Linked DNA regions of Nothobranchius furzeri. The protein of the gene in region 1 purifies or fractionates together with the protein of each later gene. This does not show direct contact. Links are inferred from orthologs where the notes say so. Each region holds a gene or a part of one and is shown in the gene's direction. Other genes may lie near its edges.

Region 1 (4,315 bases):
TTTAAAGTCAATGATGTGGAAGTCAAAGTCAAGTCCAAGTCTTTAACTTTGAATGTTCAAGTGATATTCAAGTCATCTGTCCAACTTCAATTTAATGACAGTGATAATAGCGGGCAGCATTGTGAGGGTCATGTTCTTTGATTTCTCCAGTGCATTTAACACAATCCAGCTTGATGTACTTTGCCAGAAACTCCAGAAGATACAGGTGGGGACCTCAACTATCGCCTGGATTAAAGACTACCTGACAAACAGACCACAGTTTGTGAGGCTGAAGAACTGCACATCAAACCAGGCGATCAGTAACATTGGAGCACCACAGGGGACTGTACTCTCCCCATTCCTTTTCACCCTGTACACCTCAGCCTTCCAGTACAAATCAGAGACCTGTCATCTACAGAAATACTCAGATGACTCTGCAGTTGTCGGATGTATCAGAGATGGACAGGAAGCTGAATACAGAGAGCTGGTGGAGCGCTTTGTGGCATGGTGTGGAAACAATCATCTGACCTTGAACGTGAACAAAACAAAGATGATTTTAGACTTCAGAAGAAACAGGGTGGAGTCTAACACTGCTTCACGTTCTGGTTACCAGACTGTGGAACAGCTTGCCTCTCAAACTATCTTTTTAAGTGTGGAGGTTCAAAAAAACATTTAAGAACCTACCTCTTCTATGTGCCTTCCTCATTTATTTGTGCAGATAATTTTGACTATGTTTATACCTTCATCTTTACTATTTTTTATGTTGATACATCTTCCTAGTTTATAATGATTCTGATTTTGTTTACAAATTTCCACTTTCTATTCTTGTACATTTTCCTTGTTTACAGTATTTTGAGGTCGGTGATCCTCCTTGTTTACAATGTTTTGTCCTGATTTGTGATGTACGTATCTGTGAAAGACACCCTATAACACATTTTTTACTGACAATTAATTTTGCATCAGTTTTCCAGTATAAATCTTATTGTATATTTATATTTATCATAAAAGTTCCTTTTCTAAAATTATGTAGACTGAAACTAAACACAGAGATTCAAAACGTCATTGAAGATTGCAATCTGTTTTCTATAGATGGTGCGAAAGACTTAAAAATTGACTGGTCATGATTTTGTCTTTCTTCTTTCACTCATCTCTCGATGACAACACGTGTTAGATAGACTTTTAATGTAACTTTTTAAAAATAACTGTCTATTAAATGTTCCGGTAGGCAGCTAACGAGCAGTTAAAGCTCGGACTGCGACTGTAAACTGAAGCAAATGAGTTTTTCCATATCACGTGGATCTGTTTATGTTTAGAGTCATTTCCGGAATAAAATGATTGACAGGAAGCTCATCCAATCAGAGCTCTTAAATTGATGTGACACGGGGCGGAAGTTAATTTTCTCACACATGAAAAGAAAATAGCTAGCAGTGGGGATTAAGCAGTTGCGTTTATGATCGTATTTTGTGACCAACTGTTTAAATGAAATTAACTACAGACACGTAGTTTGAGGTGGTGTGTTTTGTCTTATATGACGCGCAGTAAACGAGGGCAATGTCGCTGACAGCTGCTTATTCCACGCAAACAACAAGGCTCCGAGCAGAATTAAAGGTAAACACCCAGAAACAGTTTAGCTTCGTTTGCTAATGCTAGTCTCATGCTAACGGACTGGGTTCTGTTTCGGTTGTACATTTTAGGGTATTTGCGTATATTCATCTAAACATTAACGGCTAAATCACGAAAATGCTCAGCATCATTGCAACCAGTCTTCGTGTGTAAAATGTTTAGTTTTTATTTTCGCGTTTGGGAGAGTTCAACGGTAGTTTACTAATGTTATTATTTCTTGTTACATGGTTTTGTAACTTATCATCTTCTCTTTATTTGTCCTATAGACATGTTGTTATCATCTTAGAGAGTTATCTCAGAAAAGGCGACCACTGTCACTTGATGTTTAGACATCATCTGATCACTTGTTCCCATTTGTTGTGACCTCTTAACCTCTGTTAAATACCGTGGTATTTCCGACTGTCCAGAAACATATTTTGTCCTTCTTTAAAAGTAAATTAACACTAAGGTGTTGATTATTTATAAATAAATAAAATAAGTTATAACACATCGTTACTCGTGACAATCAGACTAAAATAGGGTTTCTGTGTTCTGAAAAAGACTTAAAAAATTATATCAAATGTAATACATTGAGTAGTATATTTAAATACACTGAAAATAGTAACAGGTCAAAAAGTTAAAAGTAAATTGTGTCCTGATAAAATCCTTCAGTAAATGTTTACATTTAATATGCTAGACTAAAACCCCACCTATTTCAGACTGCCTACTGCTTGTGACACCTTTTCAAACCACATTGATTTTATTATCTAGTTTATAATTTAAGGTTTCTATGGATTTTTGGGCTGTTTTTAACTTAGTTTCTTTGTTGTTTATTGTTGTAAAGTGTCCTTGTGTTCCTTGAAAGGCGCTTATAAATAAAATGCATTATTGTTATTGTTATTATTAATATGATGAGTAAGTTAAATGAATAATTTTAAGTGTAAGAATAAAAATATGCAACTGTTTGTAAATTACACACATATGTATTTGAAAGTTTGACCTATTTTTTTTAGGGATGGACAATATATCGGCATCAATATCGGTATCGGCCGATATTAGTAATTTCTTAACACGTCGGTATCGGTTCGATGAATAAAACCGGGCCGATATTAACAACCGTTATTTTTTTCTGTCTCATCTCCATTTGTCTGCCTGTTTCAGAGGGTGAGGGGGGTGGTGTGTATTTGTTTAGTCATGCGACAGTGATTGTAATCATCTCAGAAGCTTAAATGTGTGTGGTGTGTGTACATAATAATGTAAATTCAGCTTTAATAATCTTCTTTCTAAACTAAATCTGCTGATTTTAGAAGCATTAATGTCAGTATATCGGTATCGGCAAATATCGGTTATCGGCCATAACGGTGATCTTAATATCGGTATCAGCCCAAAAATTTCATATCAGTGCATCACTAATTTTTAAAAAATGTTTCCATAATATAAGTTTTTGATTTCAAATCTAATTTAAATTTCTTTGCAGCAATAATGCAAAACCAAAAAGTTCTTATGCAAACAAATCATCTGTATTTTCTAGGTGTAACAGCATCAGCCGGCATATAGGATCCCTGCTACGAGACAGTCTGAGTGGATATTTGTGTGAGAGTGTGCGAGCACTACAGAAGCAGAGGTTTGTAACGTGATGCCAAGATGCTGCTGTCTCTGGGAATGTTGATGCTATCTGCCACGCAGATTTACACCATCTTCACCGTTCAGCTTTTCGCCTTCCTCAACCTGCTGCCTGTGGAGGCCGATATCGCTGCTGTGAGTGAACCGTCACAGTGGTGCATAAATAGACATGCATGCATACACTTCTGCAGTTCCAGTCCTACAGATGGTCAAACCTCCTCTCATGAAGTGATGGGCTTCTGTAACAGCCGGCTTGCTTTGTTTACAAAACAATCTGAAAGTACTGTTGTGTGTTTCGCATTTGGACTGTTAACAGTTGTGAGTGTTAATGCATCCGAGCGAGCGTCACAGCTGATCGTATCTTCCTGTGTTTCAGTATTCATTTGACAACAGAACTGAGAACTTTGACGACATGCCTGCACGATTTGGCTACCGCTTGCCAAGTGATGGATTGAAGGTGAGTGCAAATGTGTCAGGTGGTATTTTTTTTTTTTTACTTTACAGCTCCTATGAACCAAGGTTTAGCCACATCGACGTACATTAGGGAGGCAAGAAAGTTTTTTGATTTCCTGTCATAAAATTCCTGATCCCCCCCCCCCCCCCCAAAAAAAATCGTATAAAAAAGCTTTTTATAAAGTTGAATTCATTCATATACCTGAAGTGTGGTTGGCTGTGTCAGTACCCTGTGTTGTTGTTTTTGTTGTTGTGAAGTTTCTGCTTGCCACACATAGCACCGCTCTTAAAAGCCAATGCACAAAGCTCACAAACAGAGAGGATGATTCATGTCTGCCATCTAAGCCGGCCATTGTGGTGCTTCCCACAGTCGAGAGCTTGTTGTTGCTGCACAAAGGCTCTTTACTCAGAGTCAAGCTGATAGCAGAATGTTTAGGTGCTCATGAGGAGGTTTAGTTCTGTGTGTTTGGACAATTATTGTTTGTTGAATTTCAAGGGTGTCATTTTAACATCATTACTTCCTTACATCATCTACCACCATGTTGTTACAGTCACATGAGGACGTGTGTGATTCTGAGTCATTATGATCACACTGCTCATTATGAGAAGTGACACCATGATGCATTTAGGGTTAAGATCTTTTTTAAATAGGTGCATA
Region 2 (3,651 bases), about 6.0 Mb from region 1:
AAAAATGGCCGTCCTCATCCTGAAAGGAGTAGAACATTTATCTGTGCTTTCTGTTAGACATACACTATTGATGCACTAAGACTTTTTCTGACTCAAATTGGATAGAGTTGCGTTGCGCATTTTATTTTATAGAAGTTTTACCAAGAAAACAAACCCTGTAACTTGGTGAACATTGGAGCAAATTAGTCACTTGTAATGAAGAATAAAAGTGCTAATTCTTGAAACAACACAGTTGAGTCTGACAAAGAAACACTGTCAAATGAAGTGTTTGTGGTGAAGTTTCTGCTGGTTATAAAGAGGTTTTTAAAATCTACATTCAGTTATTGAGCTTCCAGCTAACATCTGTTAGTTTCTCAGTGTTTTTGACATTATTTACAGTGTGGCTCGTTTGTGTTACAGCTTCAGATGCTGGGCTATGATGTCAGCTGGGCAGCGTTCAACATTGTTGAAGTCATGAGCTCCTCGAAGTTCACATACAAGGTATAACTGCCCGTGCACCAGCTGATCGTGTTAATGAAAACCAGCTGCTGCAGACCGATGATAATGTTTCTGTTATTTTATAACAAAGTGCATTTGTCTTTCCTGCTCGGGTTTTCTTCTTGCAGAGGATCGGTTACTTAGCAGCCTCACAGTGCTTCCATGAGAGCACTGATGTCATCATGCTGACGACCAATCAAATCCGAAAGGTCGGTGATGCACTTGTTTGGTGCAGCCTATGAATACCTTTCTACCTTTTTGTCCTACTTTTATTTATTGACTTTTCCATTTTTCTCTTAGGATCTCAGTAGTCCCAACCAGTATGATACAGGTGTTGCTCTGACTGGGCTCTCTTGTTTTGTGACTCCTGATCTGGCTCGAGATCTTGCTAATGACATCATGACACTGGTGAGTCATGCAGGAAATGTCGAGTTTATCCACATAACCAGTTTTTCTTTTCCTCCATGGTCTTCAATTCTTTTCTAGGCTCACAGATGAAATGTGAACATTTTTGCATTTGGAACACAACTGGTTCTTATTTTGGCTGTTTTTGTTTTCCACTTTAGATGTCCCACACTAAACCTTACATTAGGAAGAAAGCTGTGCTTATCATGTATAAGGTGTTTTTGAAGTACCCAGAATCCCTGCGCCCTGCTTTTCCAAGGCTCAAAGAGAAACTGGAGGATCCAGATCCAGGTGTGTTACAGTGTTTTTGTCATTTGAGGCAAATCTGAAACTGCAGAAGCTTTTTTGTGAGTTTTATTTTCTGTCTTCTAAATCCCATAAAGTATTCAGCAAGAGAAAATGATATATGGCGGCTGTGATACTGCAATGCTGTTTTGTTGTTGTTTTAAACTGAAAGGAATTCCCTTATGAGTATCTAGCTTGGCAAGAGAAATGTACAACATCCTGCATTAGCTTCTGATGGAAAATAGATGGTGAATCTCTTGGATTAGAAAATCCAGACAGATCTACGTCACACTGTAGATTAGCATTCATGGACTCACCCATCTTGACTTGTGACGGAGAAGGCTGTTGTTGGTTTAGCATCCAGGAAACAACAGAGAACATCATCATCATCCTTTATTTATAAAGCACGTTTAAACAGCGACTACGCCAATCGAAGTGCTGTACAAGACGATAGGACACCAAACTAGAAGACAGCAGCGTAAAATAGATAAAAACACTTAAAAACTTAAGTTACAGATCACCAAACTAGAAAACAGCGGCGTCATTAGATAAAAATAAGTAAAAAAGTAAAATAACAGACAAACTTAAGGGTAAAACAATCTCAGCTGGGTAAGCCAGGTAATAAAAATATGTCTTCAGATGTACTTTAAAAGTTGGAAGGCAAGTCGGACCGTCAGGGGGAATTGTTTCCAAAGCTTAGGGGCACAAACTGAAAAAGCCCGTTCGCCACGTGCCCTATCGCGAGCTGGAGGGACGAGCAGAAGGTGCTGGTCAGAGGACCTCAAGGTTCGCACCGGAACATAGGGGCTTAAAAGCTGCGCCAAATAAAAGGGTGCCATTTCATGCAAAGATTTATACACCAGCAGTAGAATTTTAAACTTAATCCGAAACTGAACAGGAAGCCAGTGCAAATTTGCTAAAACAGGTGAGATGTGTTGCCATCGGTCTGTGTTTGTTAGAAACCTCGCTGCAGCATTCTGTACCGATTGGGAGGCGTACCATTGAAAAGAGGATGGAACCCCATATAACAGAGAGTTAGCATAGTCCAAACGTGAAGTTACAAAAGCATGAACAACTGTGTGGAGATCTCTCTTGTTAAGGACCGATTTTAATTTAGTCAGCCGGCGAAAATGAAAGAAACACGACCTGACCATCTGGTTTATCTGTGTATCCATTTTAAAATTGGCGTCCAGTATGACCCCCAAACTTTTAATTGCCGACTTCAGAAAAACTGACAAAGAATGAGGCAGAGATGGCTCCACAGCAGAGGGGGAGCAGGGGGCAAAAAAAAAAAAAAAAAGCCTCCAGTTTGGAGCTGTTCAGATGGAGGAAATTGGCAGAAAGCCATGACTTGATTTCATTCAGGCAGTCAGTCAGTGGTTGCACAGGGTCAGCCGCTTTAAGAGCCACATACAGTTGGCAGTCGTCAGCATAGAGATGATTATTCACCCCGAATTTTCTGAAAATAGCTGCCAAAGGTAAAATATATAGATTAAAAAGAAGCGGACCTAAAAGCTAGTAGAACCTAACCGTTAGCATTAGCAACGTCAACACATGGCAGAAGCTCCTTCAGGCTTGTGTTATTTGGAGATAAACGGTTCACCAGTATACACCCCCCAGTGCAATTTACAAAACATTCATTCCTACTAGACTCCTGCAAATGTATTGATTAAATGAGTTTTCCACACCTTTAAAAACAAGAATATTTCTATTGACCTGTTTTGATCAATTAGCAACTATTACATAAGATGTGCATTTTGTTTTTATGCCGTTTCACATAGATTTTATGTTTATGTGTTTAAATGGTTTGTTTTTTAAAATGGAAACCCTTCCCTAAAAAGCGTTTGTTCTTTTTCGTTCTTAGGTGTCCAGTCAGCAGCTGTAAATGTTATCTGTGAGCTGGCTAGGAGAAATCCTAAGAACTACCTGTCTCTGGCCCCACTTTTCTTCAAACTTATGACTTCCTCTACTAATAATTGGGTTCTCATTAAGATCATCAAGCTGGTAAGTCAGCAGGTTATTTGAAAGTGGAAAAAAAAAACACTTCATAATTTCAAAGTAGTAATAATATGTAGTCAGGTTTTCCAAAAGGATCACGTCTCTGTTTTTACAGTTTGGTGCACTCACTCCTCTGGAGCCAAGGTTGGGGAAGAAGCTTATCGAACCTTTGACTAACCTGATCCACAGGTGAGCTGAAATACTCCATTAGATTTTTTGATAGATTGTCTCATGGAATGAATAAACTAATAATAATTTCTATTTTCTTTGTTTTGTACCCGGTTTTCCTTTCTCACAGCACTTCTGCCATGTCTCTGCTGTATGAATGTGTCAACACTGTAATTGCAGGTTAGTTTTAATTTCTGCTACATGGTAGAAATTCGATCTGAACGTTAACTGGCTTCTTAAAGATTCATAGAAATAGTCAGTTTTCTATAGATTAGAAAAGGATTTATTTGTTTTTCTCTCAAATTCTACATCATCTTT

Evidence for each region. Proteins that work in one complex are often made in the same cells at the same time.
Region 2: the proteins of rnf13 (region 1) and ap3d1 purify together in Homo sapiens (affinity purification with mass spectrometry; 3 studies listed by BioGRID and IntAct, counting the BioPlex papers as one, with this or other methods). This does not show direct contact. The link is inferred for Nothobranchius furzeri from reciprocal best matches to the Homo sapiens genes RNF13 and AP3D1.

Annotation. Positions count from the first base shown.
Region 1 is NC_091748.1:61,627,370-61,631,684, forward strand, and holds the start of rnf13 (E3 ubiquitin-protein ligase RNF13), read left to right. Parts: upstream 1-1,389; 5' UTR 1,390-1,587; intron 1,588-3,112; 5' UTR 3,113-3,225; coding exon 3,226-3,339; intron 3,340-3,580; coding exon 3,581-3,661; intron 3,662-4,315. UniProt on the Homo sapiens protein: E3 ubiquitin-protein ligase that regulates cell proliferation. Involved in apoptosis regulation. Mediates ER stress-induced activation of JNK signaling pathway and apoptosis by promoting ERN1 activation and splicing of XBP1 mRNA.
Region 2 is NC_091748.1:55,669,292-55,672,942, reverse strand, and holds part of ap3d1 (AP-3 complex subunit delta-1), read left to right. Parts: intron 1-399; coding exon 400-480; intron 481-605; coding exon 606-686; intron 687-777; coding exon 778-885; intron 886-1,043; coding exon 1,044-1,173; intron 1,174-3,031; coding exon 3,032-3,171; intron 3,172-3,280; coding exon 3,281-3,354; intron 3,355-3,463; coding exon 3,464-3,513; intron 3,514-3,651. UniProt on the Homo sapiens protein: Part of the AP-3 complex, an adaptor-related complex which is not clathrin-associated. The complex is associated with the Golgi region as well as more peripheral structures.